Oryctolagus cuniculus: one gene and its partner. The protein of the gene in region 2 purifies or fractionates together with the protein of the main gene of each other region. This does not show direct contact. Links are inferred from orthologs where the notes say so. Each region holds a gene or a part of one and is shown on either strand. Other genes may lie near its edges.

Region 1 (4,563 bases), on a different chromosome or scaffold from region 2:
CAGTTCACGGGTACATGTACTAGAATACTTTTGCTTTCCTCATACTGTTTTCCTTCCTTCATTCCGCCAGCAAATATTTCCTGCACGCCTACTATGCACTAGGCACTGTTAAGTGCAGAGAGAAAAGTACACCGATTACAACTACTGGGCCTCATTGTAACTGTACTCTCCACCTCCATCCGTGAAACCACCGGGCACCTGGGCTCAGGGACCTGACATCCGCTTCGGAAGATTATCTCCTTTCTTGTTTGCCTCTAGGACCACAGATGGCACAGAGCAGCCTCCTGTTTCTATTATAAGAGCGTAGCAATCACCAAGTGACCACGACTGTGGTTAGCTATTTTAAAAAGTTCGCAATTCAGGAGTCGCAGGATCCGGCTTCAGGGTTCACACCACTGAAATGATAGCCACACCATGTAAGTCAAACTTCAGTCTGCCCGGACAGTGAAGGAAACAAGGAAAATTTCCCTCATGAATTCAAAATTCAGAGCCGTGCCAAAGAGCTGGAATCTACGCATGGAAGTCAAAAGAATGGACTAAAAGGCAAGGACTTAGCAACTTCACATGGAGAATCCTATGATATAAAGTATTATGGAAAAGGAAATACATCAACAGGGGTGTGTTTGTCCCCAGGAAGAAAAGCAGGGCCCGTGTTCTCCTTCCTTTAACAAAATGTGGCTAGGGTTCTTGGCAAATCCGTGTGTGACATTTTCATCAGGCAACAGAGATGGAAAGCCGCCAGCCCCACCAGATCCTGGTCATCTCTCACTATCACCCGTATCTACCACCGCACTTTATTGTGGTGAGACTGATTACTGGCCGTGCCCTTGGACTCTCCTTTGATAAGCAACTTCCAATGTGGAAGGGCCTCCTGTCCACACACTTCACTGGGCGGTTCCAGAAGTCACACTTCCACATCTTCAGAAACTTAGAAAAGTTACTGACGAAATACAAAACATTAACTTTAAATCGATCTTAGGAGGGCTCTGAGTGCAGGCATATGATTTAGCACTTCAACATCTGCACCTCAGCTTCTCAGCCGTGTTAGGATATGGGCATTCTACATCACAGTACCTGGTTTGAGTCTCGGCTCCTCCCCTTCAGATCCAGCTTCCTGCTAAGGCACACCTCGGAGGGCAGCAGGTGACAGCTCAAGGGCTGGGGTCCCTGCCACCCACCTGGGAGACCCAGCACAGGATCCCAGCTCCCGACTGCCACCTGGCCCGTGGGGTCCCTGCCACCCACCTGGGAGACCCAGCACAGGATCCCAGCTCCCGACTGCCACCTGGCCCGTGGGGTCCCTGCCACCCACCTGGGAGACCCAGCACAGGATCCCAGCTCCCGACTGCCACCTGGCCCGTGGGGTCCCTGCCACCCACCTGGGAGACCCAGCACAGGATCCCAGCTCCCGACTGCCACCTGGCCCGTGGGGTCCCTGCCACCCACCTGGGAGACCCAGCACAGGATCCCAGCTCCCGACTGCCACCTGGCCCGTGGGGACCCTGCCACCCACCTGGGAGACCCAGCACAGAATCCCAGCTCCCGACTGCCACCTGGCCCGTGGGGTCCCTGCCACCCACCTGGGAGACCCAGCACAGGATCCCAGCTCCCGACTGCCACCTGGCCCGGCGATGTTTCCAATACACGTGCACGCTGGGATCTGGAGCCCAACTTTGAAGAAATCACCCTGGGGTCAAACGGACCCATGGTTTTCAACCCAAGGATTTTAGGCCATGGTTAATAATCGGCAATCGTAACTTCGCCAGGTTCCAGATGTATAGAAAGTCCTACAGTGGAAAAGCTAACAAGGCGCCCCACACGGCGACTTTCCAAGGTGAGCAATCAAACCTGCAGGAGCAGGCCGGCTGGGCGGGGGTGACACTGACACGGGGCCCCAGACCCAAGTCGCGGCATCAGGCGTCGCCTTTTCCAAAATCATCAACTCCCGGCCCACCCCGGTCACGGAGATCTGGACTACATCCCACAGCCATGCCCAGACCCTGGCGCCCCCTCGCCTGCTACCCGGGGAGCCCGGCCGCTGAGAGCGCGTCTCCTATCAGCCCGTGCGATCAAGGACGCGGCGTGACAGGCGCTCCCACTAATCACTCGCGGCCACGCTCCTGCCCGCTCGCTCGCGATCGCGGGGCCGCACACCCGGAAATGGAAGCTCCAGGCGCGGCCCCACTCCGGACGACCCCAGCATTTCCTCAAGCGGCGCCCACCGCGGGCTCCCGCCTCGGGCCTGCAGGTCACTCGCGCCTCCCGGCCACGAGGCGGGCCCCGCGGGGGGACCCGCGAGCGCGCGCTCCTCGAGCCACCGCAGCCGGCGCCCGGCCGGACACAGGGGGCGGCTCCGAGGCCGGACGCCTCCGGGCACCGCGCTCCGGCGCCCCAGCGGCTCCCCCACAACGACCTCCGGCGGGCCGGGGAGGCGGCGTCCGCGTCAGCCGCAACCCCCGGCAGGCACGCGCCGCACCGGCCGCCCCGTGAAGGGACCCGCCAGCGGCCACTCGCGGGAGACCGCTCAGGGCAGCGGCGCCCGGCCGGCCCCTCGGGGAGGCGCCCCGCCCGGGTCGCGCCACGCACCGCGCCCGCCCGCACTTTCCCGCCCGCCCGCCCGCCGCGCCGGGGGTCCCGCGCCCTCCGCCGCCCCCCCATGCCGCTCACCTGTCGGGCCCTAGGCTCGCTCCATGGCCGCCCGCACGGTGCGGTGCGGCGCGGCCCCGGCCGCCCCCGCCGCCTCCGGGGAGGGGCAGCCCCACGCCGCGCTCACCGCCCCCAGCCGCCGCCGCCGCCGCCACTGCGGCTCCCGCCCACCCCCGGTCCGGCCATTCCCTGGCCACCTCTCCCCGCGCAGAGCCGGCCGTCCCACACCCACCCCCCCGCCTCCGCAGGCCGCGGCTGTTGGTACGGTCCTAGCGTAACGCCTTCCCCGGGACCAATCCAAAGGCTCGCTCGGCGCGGCCCCGCCCGGGCCCCGCCCCACTGTGGGCGGGCCCTACCGGACTCGCTCCAGACGGCCCCCTTAACCCCTTTGGTTCCGGCCGGCCCCGCTTAACTCTATCGGCGCCGGTTCTTATTTCCACTCCTGCCTGCCTACTGCGCTGCTCCATCCCGTTGCCATAAACCGGCCTCTGGCTTCTTCTCCCTTGCCTTCGCTTGTTTCTTTGCTGCTTTTGTTGGACAGAGAAGCAGCCAGGCAGCAGGACTGGCGCTTTGCAATGCAATCCAGGTCAAGGGCTAGTTGTGATATGGAAGGTCCTCCCTAAGTTATCCTGACTCCTGCTTGGAGAGAGTGGATCCCCGCCTTGCCCCAAACTGGCCAGCGTTCCCAGTACGGAGCCAAAGCGCTCCTGCTCCGGACCAGAGCGCAGCTCCCTGCCGCTACGTTCAGAGAATGGAAAGCTCAGATGCCCAGCACCCAGCAGGCTCCTGGTAACCGAGGAAAGCGCCTCCCTGCCCTTGGCTTGCTCACTTTTTACCCTGGCTAGAGTTTAACAAATGCACCGTGCATTCATTCTCCCTATACTAAGCTGGGACTTAGCTGCCCTGCCCCTGAAATGGACAGCAGGCTGCCCGAGGAGCTAAGACAAGCGATGGGGAAAGGTTGACACCTTAAGGACCCAGCTGACCGTCTCCAGGACACCTGGTCCATTTCAACAGCAAAGGGTGGCAGGCCACGTGGCCAGCCCAGTAAGGTCAGAGGTCATCGTGGGACTCCATACACTGGTGAGGGTTAAATTCGGAAAGGTATGGGAAAGCCCTCCCAGATGGGAGGCTGGGTGTCAGCGGTTGCTATCCGAGTGTGTATTCAGTGAGCGCTTACTTTCAGGAGATCCTGGAGGAATTCTTGGGCTAGACACCCACCCAGAGCAGCCTGGCTAGGAGGCAGAGCTAATCCCCGCAGGAAGCATTAGTCACCGAATGCAGGAGGCCTCTGCCAGACTTGCACTGATGTCGTTGAGCCGGTTTGAGGGTCGCTGTGAGAGTACAGGATCTGGGATTCCTGGGGAAGCGAGCCGGACTGGGATGGTGTGAGAATCTGCACACAGGGGCGGTGGTGGGGTGCGGTCGGCTAATCTCCCTGAGGCTTCTTCTCTGCGGCAATGGACCGCAAAGCACCCATGGGCGCCCCCTCTAAGGGGCTTTCTTCCAAAGGACTCCTTTCTACCCTGGAACCCGACCGTGAGGGTGGACGCTCCATGTGTCATTGCTAGGGAAAAGGCCGGCTCGTTCTGCAGCCTCGGCTTCCGGAACAGAGGATCCCCCTGTGTTGAAGGGCTTTGGGGCCGGCGCTGTGGTGTAGTGGGCTAAGTCTCCATCTGCGGTGCCAGCATTCCATATGGACCCTGGTTCGAGTCCTGGCTGTTCCACTTCCCATCCAGCTCTCTGCTATGGTCTGGGAAAGCAGTGGAAGATGGCCTGGGTCCTTGGGCCCCTGCATCCACGTGGGAGACCTGGAAGAAGCGCCTGGCTCCTGGCTTTGGATAGGCTTAGCTCCAGCCATTACTGCCATTTGGGGAGTGAACCAGCAGATGCAAAACATTTTCTATTTCACAAGTA
Region 2 (4,560 bases):
AATAAAGCTGAAGCAGTCAATATATTTTGGCTAAAGTTTGGAATATGTAAATAACGAAATAAGTAAATTGAAACCTAATACTAACAAGCACAATTGCCTTGGCTCAGGAGAACAGCACTTCCTGCGCCCTCGACAAAGTGATACAGGAGGGAGAGGGTGACCGTCCCAGGCATTACAACCCACAACCCGAAGGCTGAGTTGACAGGGACAGTTACTAGTGTATAAAAACCTAACGGGGTAGGCATTATGTGCTGAAGGTTAAGCCTCTGCTTGGGACGCCCACATCCCAAACCTGGATGGCGCACCAGCTCCTCCACTTCAGATTCAGCTTCCTGCTAATGCACCTGGGAGGCAAGAACAGTCCAAGTACTTGGGTTCCTGCCACCTACGTGGGAGACCTGCATTGAGTCCTAGCTGTTAGGTCTGGCCTGGCGCAGCCCTGGATGTTGCAGACATATGGGGAGTGAACCAGCAGATGGAAGATCTCTTTGCCTTTCTAATAAATCTTTCTTTAAAATGTGACAAAAGAAAAAATATACAGGCTAATCCCCAAAGCCAAAATGTAAAGCAAGCAAAATCCCAGCCCTCTCTCTCCACGTCCTGGAGGTGCCTACGAAAGGGGGCGGGGCAGATTTCCCTATGTGGCTGTGAAGTCAGCAAGTACAGCTCAGAATTAGCTAGCATCTGGACCTTGGCCAGGCCTTGGAAAGTATAGCGAGCACCTCCTGAGGCAAAATACGCACCACAGATGGCTTCAATTACCTGCCATCAAAGAACTTCAAACTGTCTAAATTATGTAAGTACCATCACATTTCAACAAATTCTTCAGGTTATCGTCATCAAAACTAGCCACGGAAAAGCAGCATGTTAACCTGTTTCAGTATACACATTTAGAGCTAACACATATTTGAAAAAACAAAAAGGTACTTTCTCACCGTAACTTCTCACTGCTGTGACTCAGAGCACTAAATGTTAACTGTGTTTGTTTCTGAAGTTCTAGTTTCCGAGTTTTATCCATACAGAAAAGTCTCAAAAACTACAAGCCAAAATGTCCACTCAGGTATACGTTTTCTTCATTTTCCTTTTTTTTTCCTAAAATGTCTACAGTGTTACTTTTGTCCCAAAGGCAAAAAGACCTAAAGAAAAATGCTTAACACCAAGATTCCAAAGTGTAAAGCATTTAAAAAAAAGTTGAATACTTTCTAAAATCTAAGATACTTCTACTTCGCTTTTTCATCACAAGAACAAAACAGAGTTTCACACACAGCCTGCTCGGGTCAGCACAGCTCAGTCCTTACACAGGGCCCAGGCCCCTTTCGGTAGGAAAACAACATACTGCAGACACGCTGGGCGTTTCCATCAAGGTGAGCTGTAGTTCTCGACTTTTATCAGGAGTCCACCAACAGTAACATCTGCTAAGTTTCCCTAAACCTTCGATTTTTTTAAGAATGAAACTTTTTTGCCTATCTTGGTGAATTTGGAAAGCTTTCTGAAAATCAAAACAAAACTTCAAGATACTTTTGCGTCTGACTCAAGACAGCTGTCTGAGGTTCCCACACCGGGATAAAGCGCTTCAGGGACCACCTTACAGCCATGACTTACAGAACACCCATTCCCCTGCCTCAGCTCCCACGCCTGCGTCTGGCTTTCAAAACACCCATCTGTAGATGGATAGATACATGATACACAGAGCGAAAGGTTCACTATAGGATGAGAAGTGTGCACACACGTACACACCCACTGGCATTTTTTTCACCTTTTTATGTGAAAATTCTGGATACTGGGGTGAAATACAATCCTTTTCAAAAGCAGAACACAAAACAAATATTTTTCACAGCTTCACCCTACCTAAAGCTTTGAGGTCCTACGTCAAAAGCCCTCACTTCTCCAGCACCTCACAAAAAAAGCTCTTAAGACGGCCAAAACCTCGAGAACCGTCAGAACCGATCAAATTTAGAGCGATACTAAAAAAATAAGCTGTCGCCCAAACCAAGTTGAACTAAAAAGTCATTTTGTAGGGTTCCTGAGAACTTTGTCGACTTTACTTCGTAACTTTTTTTCCTCATTACCATTTCACCGAATTGTTAATTCCAAATAGTACGTCTTTAAAACAAACAAAATTCCCCAGCAAACAGGATCTGTGGACCCTCCCTCCCAGGTCCAAAATAACCCGAGAAGTTGGGGGTGCTGGTGGTTCCAGGTGCGGCTGTTCACAACCGGGTGGTCCCCAGGCTGGAATCGCGCCTGAGGTCTACACCGGTTAAACGCGCAGGGAGAGGCGAGGAGGGCGTCGCGAGGAAGAGGGGAGGAGAAATCCAACACTCTGAACGCCGAGGGCCAGGAAAGCCCTGGGCCGCGCGCAGCGGGGCCACCAACTCCACCGCGCCTCGGGGGCCAGGGGTGCGCTCCCGGGCGCGCGGCTCCGGCGGGAGCAGCGCAGGTGCGCGGGCCGGGGGGGAACCGCGCGCCCACCTGGAGCCCACCTGGCGCCCCGGGCCCGCGCCGCCGCCCCCCGCCCCGCCAGCCGCGCCCGCACCTCTCGGTCCTTGAGACCCAGCAAGAGCACCTCCTCCATCAGGGTCAGCCGGGTTTCCTTGGAGTCGCCCTTGTCGTCGTCGTCCTGCTCGTCGCGGCGGCTCTGCGCGTCGTCCTCGCCGCTGCCGCCGCCGCCGCCCGCCGCCCTCTCCTTGTCGGCGGCGTTGCGGGAGGCCTCGGTGCGCCGCTGCACCAGGCCCGAGCTGCGCTGGGTCAGCGAGGTCATGGCTCCGGCCGAAGCGCCGCGCGGGCCGAAGAGGGACGCGGGTCCGACCGGGTCGCCCTCCTCCTCCCCCCGCGGCCCCTGACCCGGGCTTCCGTGTTAGATCCGGATGCTGGGGCGACGTCCGTCGGCTGCGGGGCCGGGGGCGGTCATGGGGAATTAGGCTGAGCTTCGGCGAGGAGAAAGAGGGGCGCTTTCCTGCCTGCGGCCGCGGCCCCTAAAACTGCCCAAGCTCCGAAGCGGAGGCGGCGGCGGCGGCGGCGGCGGCGCCTTTCCAATATGGCGTCGCCGGCTGACGTCACCGGAGGATGTGGCAGAGTCGGCGCAGCGAGGGCCCGGAAGGCGCCGGAAGCAGCGGATGGGATCGGCTGCCGCCGCCGCCCACCGGCTCCCCGGCTTCGGGTGCCGGCCTTTTTTTCCGCGTGCCCTCCGGCCCCGGCCTGAGGCCTCGGGCCGGTGACGTGTCCGCGTCACGTTCGCCCCAACTTTCGTCCCTTACGATCCGGGATGGAGCCAGCGCGTCGGCGAGCGTGCGCGCGCGCGAGTCTGGAGAGCTGAGGCCGCGCAGGGGTGGACCCCGCCGAGCCTCGAGCTGTGCCCGCCGCACCTCGGTCCGCGGAGGGCCCGGGCCGCCGGGACCCCGTCTGGACTGGCAGGAGGGACTGTGCTCGCCGCCGCTGGGGCGCGAGAGGGCGCGCCCGGACGCCCTGATGCCTGGGGAGGAGCGGCTGCGCCTTCTGGGGGCAGCCGGGCTGGGACGCAGGGACTAGTTTAATGTGCAAAACTTTCCTCTCCCACTCCGACTTGCGCTGCGCGGTGGCCGGAGTGCCCCGCACAGCTAGTGGCGCGCACGGCCGCACGCGCGACCTTTACGGTCTTTTTATGGAGACAATAAACCTGTTGGGTTTCGTGCCACGTCTCTGCCCGCGTAATGACTAGGTTTCAATCCTCTTGGCGTGCTGCACAGTTTTGTGCAAATTACGTTAAAGGTTAGCTGTCACACTGCGAGAGGTAGGGCGGGGGCGGAAGGGTGGCGTGTGTAAAGTACCACGTTGTTGTGCGCCATCCAGTATTAGGATCAACAGTGACCACAGGCTGGAGCTGTGCTTTGGTTAGGGTCTTCCCCCTCCATGAACCCGGCATCCCGACCTGCAGTAGCCCCAGAACGCGATGCAGGCCCGGGGCACAAGGTCAGTGCCAAGTCCTCCCCTCTTTGCTGGCCGCCCAAAGGTCAACTTCTCAACCAGGTTCTCCCACTCACATCCTCTTCCAGTTCTTTACCAGATAGCTTCAAATTTGTTTCTTTGTAAAAGAAATGTAATCACTACTGGATTAATAGAGTCCAATACCTACGCCAAGACAAAGGACATGAAGATGTGTATAGTGAAGCTGTCCCTCCCAGCACTGTCTGGTTCCCCACGGCCAGATTTTCAAATATGCCAACAGGTCCTGTGATTCGCCTTCCCTTGCATGTGAGTTTCTTAGGACAGATAGAACGTGGGCAGCGCGGGCTGGCTGGGTGTCACTTCTCAGAGCGGGTCACAGGAGTCTTCGCAGCAACTTTCTCGCCTTCCTGCCCTCTCCCATTCACTCTGGGAGAAACCCAAAGCCAGATCTTACAGACATCCAAGCCCCCTTAGGCAATGGTCAGCCCTGTGAGTGACCCATCTCAAGCAGATCTTCCAGTCCTTCCTCATGTCTTCCTTGAAACCTGGTGAGAGATGCTGAGCCAGTCCCACCCAGTGGGGCCATTCTCAAATTCCTGTCCTGCAGAAACTGAGACAATAAATATTTGTTGGGCA

What was found.
Region 1: the proteins of GOLPH3 (region 2) and FAM20B purify together in Homo sapiens (affinity purification with mass spectrometry; 3 studies listed by BioGRID and IntAct, with this or other methods). This does not show direct contact. The link is inferred for Oryctolagus cuniculus from reciprocal best matches to the Homo sapiens genes GOLPH3 and FAM20B.

Annotation. Positions count from the first base shown.
Region 1 is NC_091438.1:7,216,452-7,221,014, reverse strand, and holds the start of FAM20B (glycosaminoglycan xylosylkinase), read right to left. Parts: upstream 2,857-4,563; 5' UTR 2,668-2,856; intron 1-2,667. UniProt on the Homo sapiens protein: Responsible for the 2-O-phosphorylation of xylose in the glycosaminoglycan-protein linkage region of proteoglycans thereby regulating the amount of mature GAG chains.
Region 2 is NC_091445.1:58,310,776-58,315,335, forward strand, and holds the start of GOLPH3 (Golgi phosphoprotein 3), read right to left. Parts: upstream 3,054-4,560; 5' UTR 2,762-3,053; coding exon 2,537-2,761; intron 1-2,536. UniProt on the Homo sapiens protein: Phosphatidylinositol-4-phosphate-binding protein that links Golgi membranes to the cytoskeleton and may participate in the tensile force required for vesicle budding from the Golgi.